Linked DNA regions of Ovis aries. The protein of the gene in region 2 interacts with the protein of the main gene of each other region in a pairwise test. Links are inferred from orthologs where the notes say so. Each region holds a gene or a part of one and is shown on either strand. Other genes may lie near its edges. The genes, in order: LAMP2 and SNCA.

What was found.
Region 1: the proteins of SNCA (region 2) and LAMP2 interact in binary tests that used the Homo sapiens proteins (3 or more experiments, as listed by UniProt). The link is inferred for Ovis aries from reciprocal best matches to the Homo sapiens genes SNCA and LAMP2.

The regions. Positions count from the first base shown.
Region 1 is NC_056080.1:104,795,182-104,799,577, forward strand, and holds the start of LAMP2 (lysosome-associated membrane glycoprotein 2), read right to left. Parts: upstream 3,001-4,396; 5' UTR 2,894-3,000; coding exon 2,830-2,893; intron 1-2,829. UniProt on the Homo sapiens protein: Lysosomal membrane glycoprotein which plays an important role in lysosome biogenesis, lysosomal pH regulation and autophagy.
Region 2 is NC_056059.1:35,535,197-35,539,649, forward strand, and holds the start of SNCA (alpha-synuclein), read left to right. Parts: upstream 1-1,591; coding exon 1,592-1,712; intron 1,713-4,453. UniProt on the Homo sapiens protein: Neuronal protein that plays several roles in synaptic activity such as regulation of synaptic vesicle trafficking and subsequent neurotransmitter release.

The DNA.
Region 1 (4,396 bases), on a different chromosome or scaffold from region 2:
CAGACTAGTTATGGGAATCAGTAACCACGGAACTCTGAAATCTATAATGTCACAGGGGAAACATAAGCAATGATGCTAGGAAAAGTTTTTCATCCACTACTCTCTAACGCCTCTAGGTAGCTTTTCTTCAGATGTTCTCTAGGCAGGTCAATTCATTCCAATAAATACTAGCATAATTTAATCTTTGTGAAAAAGGCCAATACACAGGCTCTGAGAATTCCTTTCTATACTTACTCTAAAGCAGCTATTTTTAAAGAGCTACCTGGTAGAGCTGGGAGAGAGTTATAAAGTTACCAAGTGAAACCAGTGCACTACCAGTTAATGAGGTCATAAATCCAGGAACAAATCCTCCTCCCTGGGACCCTCTGCAGTGCTCAGAACAGTGTGAATTTCACAGCAGATACTTTATTGACTTTCCAAAAAACTATTATTGGTATCCACTTTGATATATAAAGGTAAGGTGCAAAATCCACCAAGCAACTGAAGAATTGCTAAATTCTTAAACACACACAGGAGTTTGAAAATCTTCCAAGAGGATGTTAGTCCCAAACAATAAATGGCAAACTAGCAGATGAGCTGATGCTTTTTTTTAATGTGCTTCTTTTCTCCTGTTTATTTTCTGCAATGAGCAAGTACTGCTTTTGTAAAAAGAGCACACAAAAAAGCTTTCATTAAAAGGAAAAAAAATGACAAGCAAGCCAACAAGACAATGAATTTTTCCCCCTTTCTCTGAACAATAAAAGTGTTGTTTGTGCTGATCCAATTGGCAGAGAACTACTGATTACCAGATGCCTTGGTCAGATGTGTTCTAGTCACTGATAAGGTGCTTCTCACTGTAAACAATCCTCTCATAGGGTCATTTGGCCTCCCTAAGTGCTTCACAGAGGAGTCAAGGCTGCACATTACATTTGAGCAAAGCTCCGTGGCCCCTTTCAAAAGGGCTAGAGGCTTTCCTGCACTAAATGCACAGCTAGATTCCCTTCTGGCATCAGGGCCCCTTTACTCTCTTATCCACTGAGGACCTCAAAGGGCTTTGTTTATGTGACTTATATCCATTGTTACTTGCTGTACTAGAAATTAAAACTAAAAAAAAAGGACTAAAACACGTCAGACCCATGAGGGTGGTGATGTCATCACACATTCTATAGCTTCTGGAAAACTCCACCGTACTGAGGAGCGGATGAGTGTGAAAAAGACAAATATCTTAATTTCAGTCTGGAAATAGTTTTCATCTGACAGGAACTTCCCCCCACCCCACCCCCAAAGATCCTTAAGAATCACTGGTCGATCCAGACCCCTTCCAACGCCACAGCTTTGGAGCCAGACTCCTCATCCTTTGGCACTCCTGACATTCTGAGATGGGTCATTCCTTATTGGGCGGGGGGGAGGGTGTGTGTGTGCTGTCCTGTGCCTTGTGGGATGTTTAGACGCACCACTGCCCTCTTCCCACTAGATGCCAAAAGCAATCCCCAGTGATAACAACCCAAAATGTCTCCAGACATTGCTAAATGCCTCTTGGGTGAGAATCCACCATTCCACGTGTTGACTTTATTCTTCTACTGAAATGTCAATTACAAAATGTGTGCCTCTCACTGCCCTTCCCCAGCCCCTAATGTATCTATTTCTTCTCTATTTCCATCTGAGTCTGCCCCTTCTGGTCTTTTATTAGGTCACAAACGGCAAGAATCAGGTAGTAACAAGCTCAGAATTTATCAGGACAGGAAGAAAATTCTGGTCAAAGTTCACCTTTCAGGTAGTTAAAGGCCTCGGGGACCTAAAGCGTTCTGGTCGGGGGGTGGGGGTGGGGCACGGGGCGCTCACAGCGCCAGGAGCCAGCCAGCCAGCCATTCTTAGGACCTAGTAAAAACCCGATCCTTAGAAAATGACCTGCCCTCCTCCTCCTCCTCGGAAAACCAGGCGGTAACAGGCCAGTTGTGTGAGAGAGAAGAAAAGGAGCTTCTGAACGTAAAGTGGCAGTGTACAAGACTCAGATACACCACCCGCAAAACCTCAATATCTGAGGACCTTTTTTTAATCAGTCTAGCTGGAAGGAAGTAATAAAACTGGTTTTAAAAAAATAAACAACTATGTCCTCAGCACTTCCAAGTCAGATATTCACTCCCCACCGAAGTTGGTATTCACCCGTTTTAGTCTCCAGAGATTGGGTACATCGAAGTTTTCTCGTCTGGAAATTGCCCCAGCCACCGTAGCTCCCCCTTCCCCATCAACACTCCAAGTACCAAACCCCAATTTATCTCTCTAGAACCACCCCTCCTCCACAGCGTTAAACTCCTGCCCCAACAAGCCTCTTATTGCTCCTCAGAATCTCCCCCTATCTGTCCCCCACCCCCCTTAACCCAAGCTTCTCCACGCAGGCAGTCCCCTTCCCTCCTCAGTTTCCTCTCCCGCCCCACAGGTTCCCACCATCTTCAAAACTCTTCCTTGATCCTAGGACCAGGACTCTAATTGTCCGTGCCACCCCAGAGACCGCACGTACCGCCCTCCCACGCTCACCTCTCCTTAGCATCGCCCCCAAGTTACTCTTTCCACCCCCAGTGCTCCACTCCTCACTCTTCCCTGCCTACTCCCTCGGCGTCCACCCCCACCCCTTGCTCTTTTTTATTCTCATGGGCCCTTGTCCCTCGCCATCCCTCAGTCGGGCCTTCGCTAGGTCACTGCTCATCACCTCGGGCCAAGCGCCAACGCCCAGTGTCTGTCATTCAGCCTCTCAACCCCCTCCCCTCCGGACCAGTCTTTCAGGTTACTGCCTCTGAACTGGGAGCCCCGGGCCCAGGATCAGGGACTAAGAAGAAGGGCCCGACAACTCACCCAGGACGAGGCAGAAGAGAAGGAACCCACAGCCCGGAACCGGGGCGAGGCGGAAGCACACCATGATCCCGGAGAGCAGGCGGCGGCGACAAGAGCAGCGACAGCAGGGAAAAGGCTCGCTGAAACCTGATAGGAGCGCTGATGACCACCGACCACAACGCTGCAAAAGCCAGGACTCGGCGCTTTCAGCGCGGGTCATAAGACCAGGGGCGGGGCTCTTTCTTGCCTTCAGCCAATCTGCGCGCTTGAAAGAGGCCCTAGGGGTGGTGATGCTTGGGCCCAGTGGGCGGGGTGACCACGCCCTGGCTTTTTGGTTCACAGTCATTTTTATGCTCCTAAGAGATGCGCGCGGACGGCCCTTTCTGAGGTTTTTTAAGGAGAGACGAACTTTTTTTGGGGGTGTAGCTAGTATAGATTATTTCAATTCTGACTCTTTGAGAATACTTTTGCTGGAGTAAAAATGGTTGCTAGGTATTGCAACGTCATACCTACAGAAATAAAACAGGATTATTCTCCAAACACCGTTGCCCATGCAGTTCATGTCATTAAAAGGACAAGGGAGCTAGAGGGTGATATGGAGTCAGTGAACACCAGAGCAGGCCTTGAAGTTCACCTAGTTACAACACCCTGTTTTTCAGATGGGGAAACTGAACTCAGAAAGAGGAAGAATCTTATTTAAATATAGAAAAACAATGAGGAAGAAATAGAAGGACAAGGGAAGAAAGGATCATCCATATTCCGAGTACACAGAAAGAGACACCATCCAACAAGCTGTTTTTCCTCTACCTATACACATGTAAATATTCTTTAGTTAGAATTCACGCTAAACACATTATTTAGTATAGTTGACAACTGAACAGATGAAACCCAAACTCTTCAACAAATGAAAGCATTCAAAAATTATAAAGATCTCAAATTGGGACAAAGCGTTGATTCTCAAATGTTAGTTTCCAAAAGTGTCATGTGGGGATTTTTAATAACATGTAGAATCCTCACCTCATTCCCCAGAGATTCTGAAACAGTAGGTCTGTGGCACTCCTAGGAATCAGTTCTTTTAACAAGAACTCCAAGTGATTCTGATTCCTATGGTTCCCAGACTACATTTCAAGTACCAGAAAATAGAGCTTCAAAATCATCTAGTCCCAGGAGATCTTAATCTGGTTCCAATGGATGAACTAGGGGTGGGGGATAGGTGTCTGTGAATCCCCCAAAATTACAGGCAAGATTTACATATGTGTATTTTTCTGAGGAAGTTGGTAGTTTTTACAATTTCTTAAGTAGGACCTATGACTTCTCACCCTAACACCCACTCCTGCTCCAATATTAAGATCTATTCCACCACTGTCCTTCGCTTGAATGTGATTAATTCCTGAAAGTGAGAACACTGAATGTGTTGTGTCATGAGTGAAACTAACTGCCCCATCAATAAGGCTAGGAAGCAGCTCTGTCCTGGAGAACCGGCAGCTGAGTTGAGCGCTCAGAAGTGCGCCCCCCGCCATTATTTTTATTTTTTTATTTTGGCTGTGCTGCATGGCATGCAGGCATGCAGAATCTTAATTCTCCGACC
Region 2 (4,453 bases):
AGGACCGCGGAGACTAGCAGGAGAGGGGGCCAGCGACCGAGCGCGGCGACGCGGGGTGAGGTGTGTGCTGGCTTTAGAGCGGACCCAGGGACCGAGCCGCGCCTGCAGCATCCTTGGCGCTCTTCCCCGCTCCCCTCACCCCCCAACCCTTCCCTTCCGACCTTCTGCCTTCTTCTCTCGAATCCTCTCGTGCGGGGGACGAGGAGTGGCAATTCGACGGCAGGTTTGTGGGTTTGCGTCCCACGCTCCCCGCCTCCCAGCGCAGGCTTGTGCTGACAGCCGCCTCCTCTGGGAACCATCCCTCTTCTGGTGCCGCCTCCACCCTTCCTGTGCGCTCTTTATCCTCTCTCTTCCCACTTAAATAACATTTGGGAATTGTTTTTTAAATTTTTTAAGTGGGGGTGGGGGAGAAATTGGAGTTCGTGGAGCCGAGGAAATCTGGTAAGTGCTTGTGGAACTAACTGGGCAGCTTTGGAAGTCGTGGAGAACACCTGGTGGGAGAAGAGTCGTTGCGGGCGCCCCGGGGCGCGCGGGGGTGGGGTGGGCGTGCTGCCGCGAGGACCAGCTGTAGTCGAGCCTCTCTCAGAGGTGAGTGCTTATCCCTAGGGTGAGCGTGAGGAAAGGCAACTGACCTGTTTGCCTCCTGCTTCGACTGCTTCCCTCTTCTCGTCCTCAGAGGCCGAGAGGTCTGGATTCTCAGGGATAAGCTTCTCCTTTGGGAAACGCGAGGATGCTCCAGGGAGTATGAGTATTCAACTTTTGTTTGTCGCTTTCCTTAACCGCCCCCCGCCTCTAGTCCGCCCTCTCTGTTCTCTCTGTGAAGTAAACAAGCTATGTTTGGCAAATCGTTAAGTGGGAGCGCTGAGAGGGCGAGTCAACAGGTGATAAGGGGTTAACAGGTGCGGCGCAGGGTAGGGGGCGGGTTCCAGGCGCTGAGAACGCCCCCACGGGTGGCTGGCGCGCCTCCTGAGGCTTCCGTGGTTGTGAACTCGCGCCCTCCTGCACGCTCTGGGTTGATAGCCCAGGGTCGGGTGCATGGTTGGGTGAATTAGAGCGAGGGCGGTGGGCTCGCAGTTGGCCTGAGGTTCAGCCACACCCAGAGTGAGTGGTTCCTTCCCTCCCCTATTCGTGATTGATCTGTTAGCTGCCTTTTGGAATGTAAGCGTGTCCCTGACCCCCTGCCTTCAGGTCCCTTTCCTTTTCCTGTGATGTCTTCTAAACGCACTTCTAACTTATACTGTCACCATTTGGACCCTGGGAAGTTAAAAGAGGAGTCTATCTTTCCGTGCAATTCCACTTCGGAAACGCGTAAGAACAGCTCATATGATTCATCCTAATCCATGTTTAGGCGGCTAGACTTTATCCAGCCAAGATGGATGGGAGATGCTAAATTTTTAATGCAAAAGCTAAGAAAAGCCTCCTTTGTCCAGTGGTTGAAATGGAGGTACACTTAAGAGAATCTCACTCTTTTGAGGATTCTACTGATCTTTCAATAGTTTTTACTTTGGGTGGTTCTAATTTTGTTTTTTACGCAGAAGTTCTTAAAGTGTATTTTGTCTTCTCCAGTGTGGTGTAAAGGAATTCGTTAGCCATGGATGTTTTCATGAAAGGACTTTCAAAGGCCAAGGAAGGAGTCGTGGCTGCTGCTGAAAAAACCAAGCAGGGTGTGGCAGAAGCAGCAGGAAAGACAAAAGAGGGTGTTCTCTATGTAGGTAGGTAAGCCCTAAATGTCACTTTGATATTTATTTGGGATTGATGGGTTAGGATGATTGATGCTTTAAATGCTGGTATTTCTCACCACTCCTCAAAGTGATGGGCTGAATCAGAGGTGTGTGTAAGTAGGTGAATGTGTGTGTTTGAGCTAATATACAAAGTGGGGCTATTTTGTTTTTCCAGACTATTTAATTTTGCAGTAATATTTAGGACTTTCTTTTTTTAAATGAATGTTTCTATGCATAAGTAACTATAGCTCTGAGGACACTTTTAAAAACTCAGTCTCAGAAAATATTCAATAGTATCTTAAAATCAAACTCCTCCATGAGCTTTTGATTTATCTTCATGAATAATATATGCTAACTTCAGTGTATTCTAATTTAAAAGTAAGACGTTGATATAATCTTGAGATATGTAAAGAGAGACCTACTGTGACTCTAAAAAGAAAAGGACAGACAAGTCTTTGGAGTTACTTCTTGTGACCACTTGGTAAGTTGGGGACTAAGCTCAAGAAAGTGCTTGAAGGCTGCTAATATCTCTGAGACATTTATATAGTTCATTTATCAAATGATACAATAAATTAGATGCTTACTGTTTTTCCTTGTTTATAAATTCCCACATCAGAGTATTCTTGCAGTGAAGTGAAAGTTGCTCCATCCTGTCTAATACTTTGTGATCCCATGGACTGTCCATGGAGATTCTCCAGGTTAGAATACTGGAGTGGATAACATTTTCCTTCTCCAGGGGATCTTCCCAACCTAGGGATTGAACCCAGATCTCCCCAGGGATTGAACCCAGGTCTCCCACATTTCAACTGGATTCTTTACCCGCTGAGCCACAAGGGAAGCCCAAAAATGCTTGAGTGGGTAGCCTATCCCTTTTCCAGAGGCTCTTCCTGACCCAGGAATCAAACCAGGGTCTCCTGCGTTGCAGGCAGATTCTTTACCAACTGAGCTATCAGGGAAGCCCTACTCTTTTTTTTTAATCTTGAACTGTGTTAGGTTGGGTGTTGTTTTACAAGTCACCTGGAATTCTTTGGGTGAAGAAATAGGCATACACATAGACACACACTCATCTATAGGGATACAAACGGGCACATGAGCATACACTCACACACTGCCCATTCTCTTTTCTCCTCTGAGCTTTTCCTCCTTTTCCTCACATTCTCTGGTAGCAGGTGTAGCACCAGTAGCCAAAGGATGAGTAATAAAGTGGAGGATGAGCATAATGGATTGTGTAGAATACTCTGTCTATGTCTGTGGGGTGAAGGAAAGCTATATCGTCTCTTCAATAGAGATGGACTGGAGAAAAGTTATACTTGGAATGATTTTTATGAATATTTCTCATATTTTTTCTCACTGTTCATAGACTTTTTATTTTGGTTCAATCTTACCACAAACCTCTAGTTAAATTACTCTTTATCTTAAAATGTATTTTCAGAAAATCATTGAATTGAAAGATCTTACAAGAGGGAAAAGTCAATGAGTTAAACTCAGTTTTTTTCTTGTGAAATGTGGATTGTATCTTTTTAGGTGGAATTTGGAATACTGAATCAGTGACATTTAGATAATCAGTATTTTTATATTTGTCCTCAGTGTTCCAAGTTGTACAAGTGCATGCTTTGTAACCATTCCTTGATTTCAGTTACTTTATAGCTTAGTTACTTTTAAGATATTTTTAGTTGGATAATATTGATTTATTAGTTTTGAATGAGTCCAAGAACCACTGACTATTAAATTAACATGGTGCTGTTTTCCAGGTAATAAGCAGGATTATCATCTGGAAAACATTGTACTTGTTTTCATTTTCACCCATGAGTTTGGGCAAATAAAATAACAATTTTTTAGAGATTAATTCTGTTGTTTTCTCTGAGATTATTATATGAAATTTCAATTTGTTTATGTATACATATTTTAAAAAATAATCTTCAGTGTTCATTATGGTATTTAACAGAGTGCATTCTATATACTATTTATCAGTTGATATTTTAAAGTCAATTAAAAGTTGAACACAAATACATAATTCAGGATGAAGTATGACCTTGTGAAGTTATAGTACTACCAGGTTTTGGCAAGCTTTTTCCCTAAAGGGGTAGTGAATAATTTTAGGGTATGATGTCTGTTTCAGCTGATCAGCTTTGCTCTCCTGAAGTGAAAGCAGCCATAAACAATAATTAGGGTGACTATGTTCCTATAAAACTTTACTTACCAAAACAGCTGGAGAGTTTATTTGGCTCATAAGCTATAGTTTACTGACTCCTGATAAAGTAGGAAAAAAATGTAGATTTGATGTCAAACTTGAATTCCAGTCCAGACTACAGCACTTTTTAACCTCTAGGATAATGGAAAGGTACTTAACATATCTAAGCATCACTTTACTCATTTGTAAAAATACAGTTTGAATACATGCAAGTACCCTGTAGAGTTCTTGTGAGAACATCATAATAAAGCCGAACCTATAAGTAAAAAGGCATACTTTTAAAAAATTAAAGACTTAATTTTTATGTTTTAAATTAACAGAAAAATTGATATATAGAGGTTTCCCATGTACCCCAAACCCCACACATGCATAACCTCTCAAATTACCAACATCCTTTACCAGATGGTACATTCATTACAACTGCTGAACCTACATTGACACATCATGATCATCCGAACTCCATAGCTTCCATTAAGGATCACTCTTGCTGCAATACATTCTGTGAGTTTGGATGAATGTGGAATGGCAATCCACTCCAGTA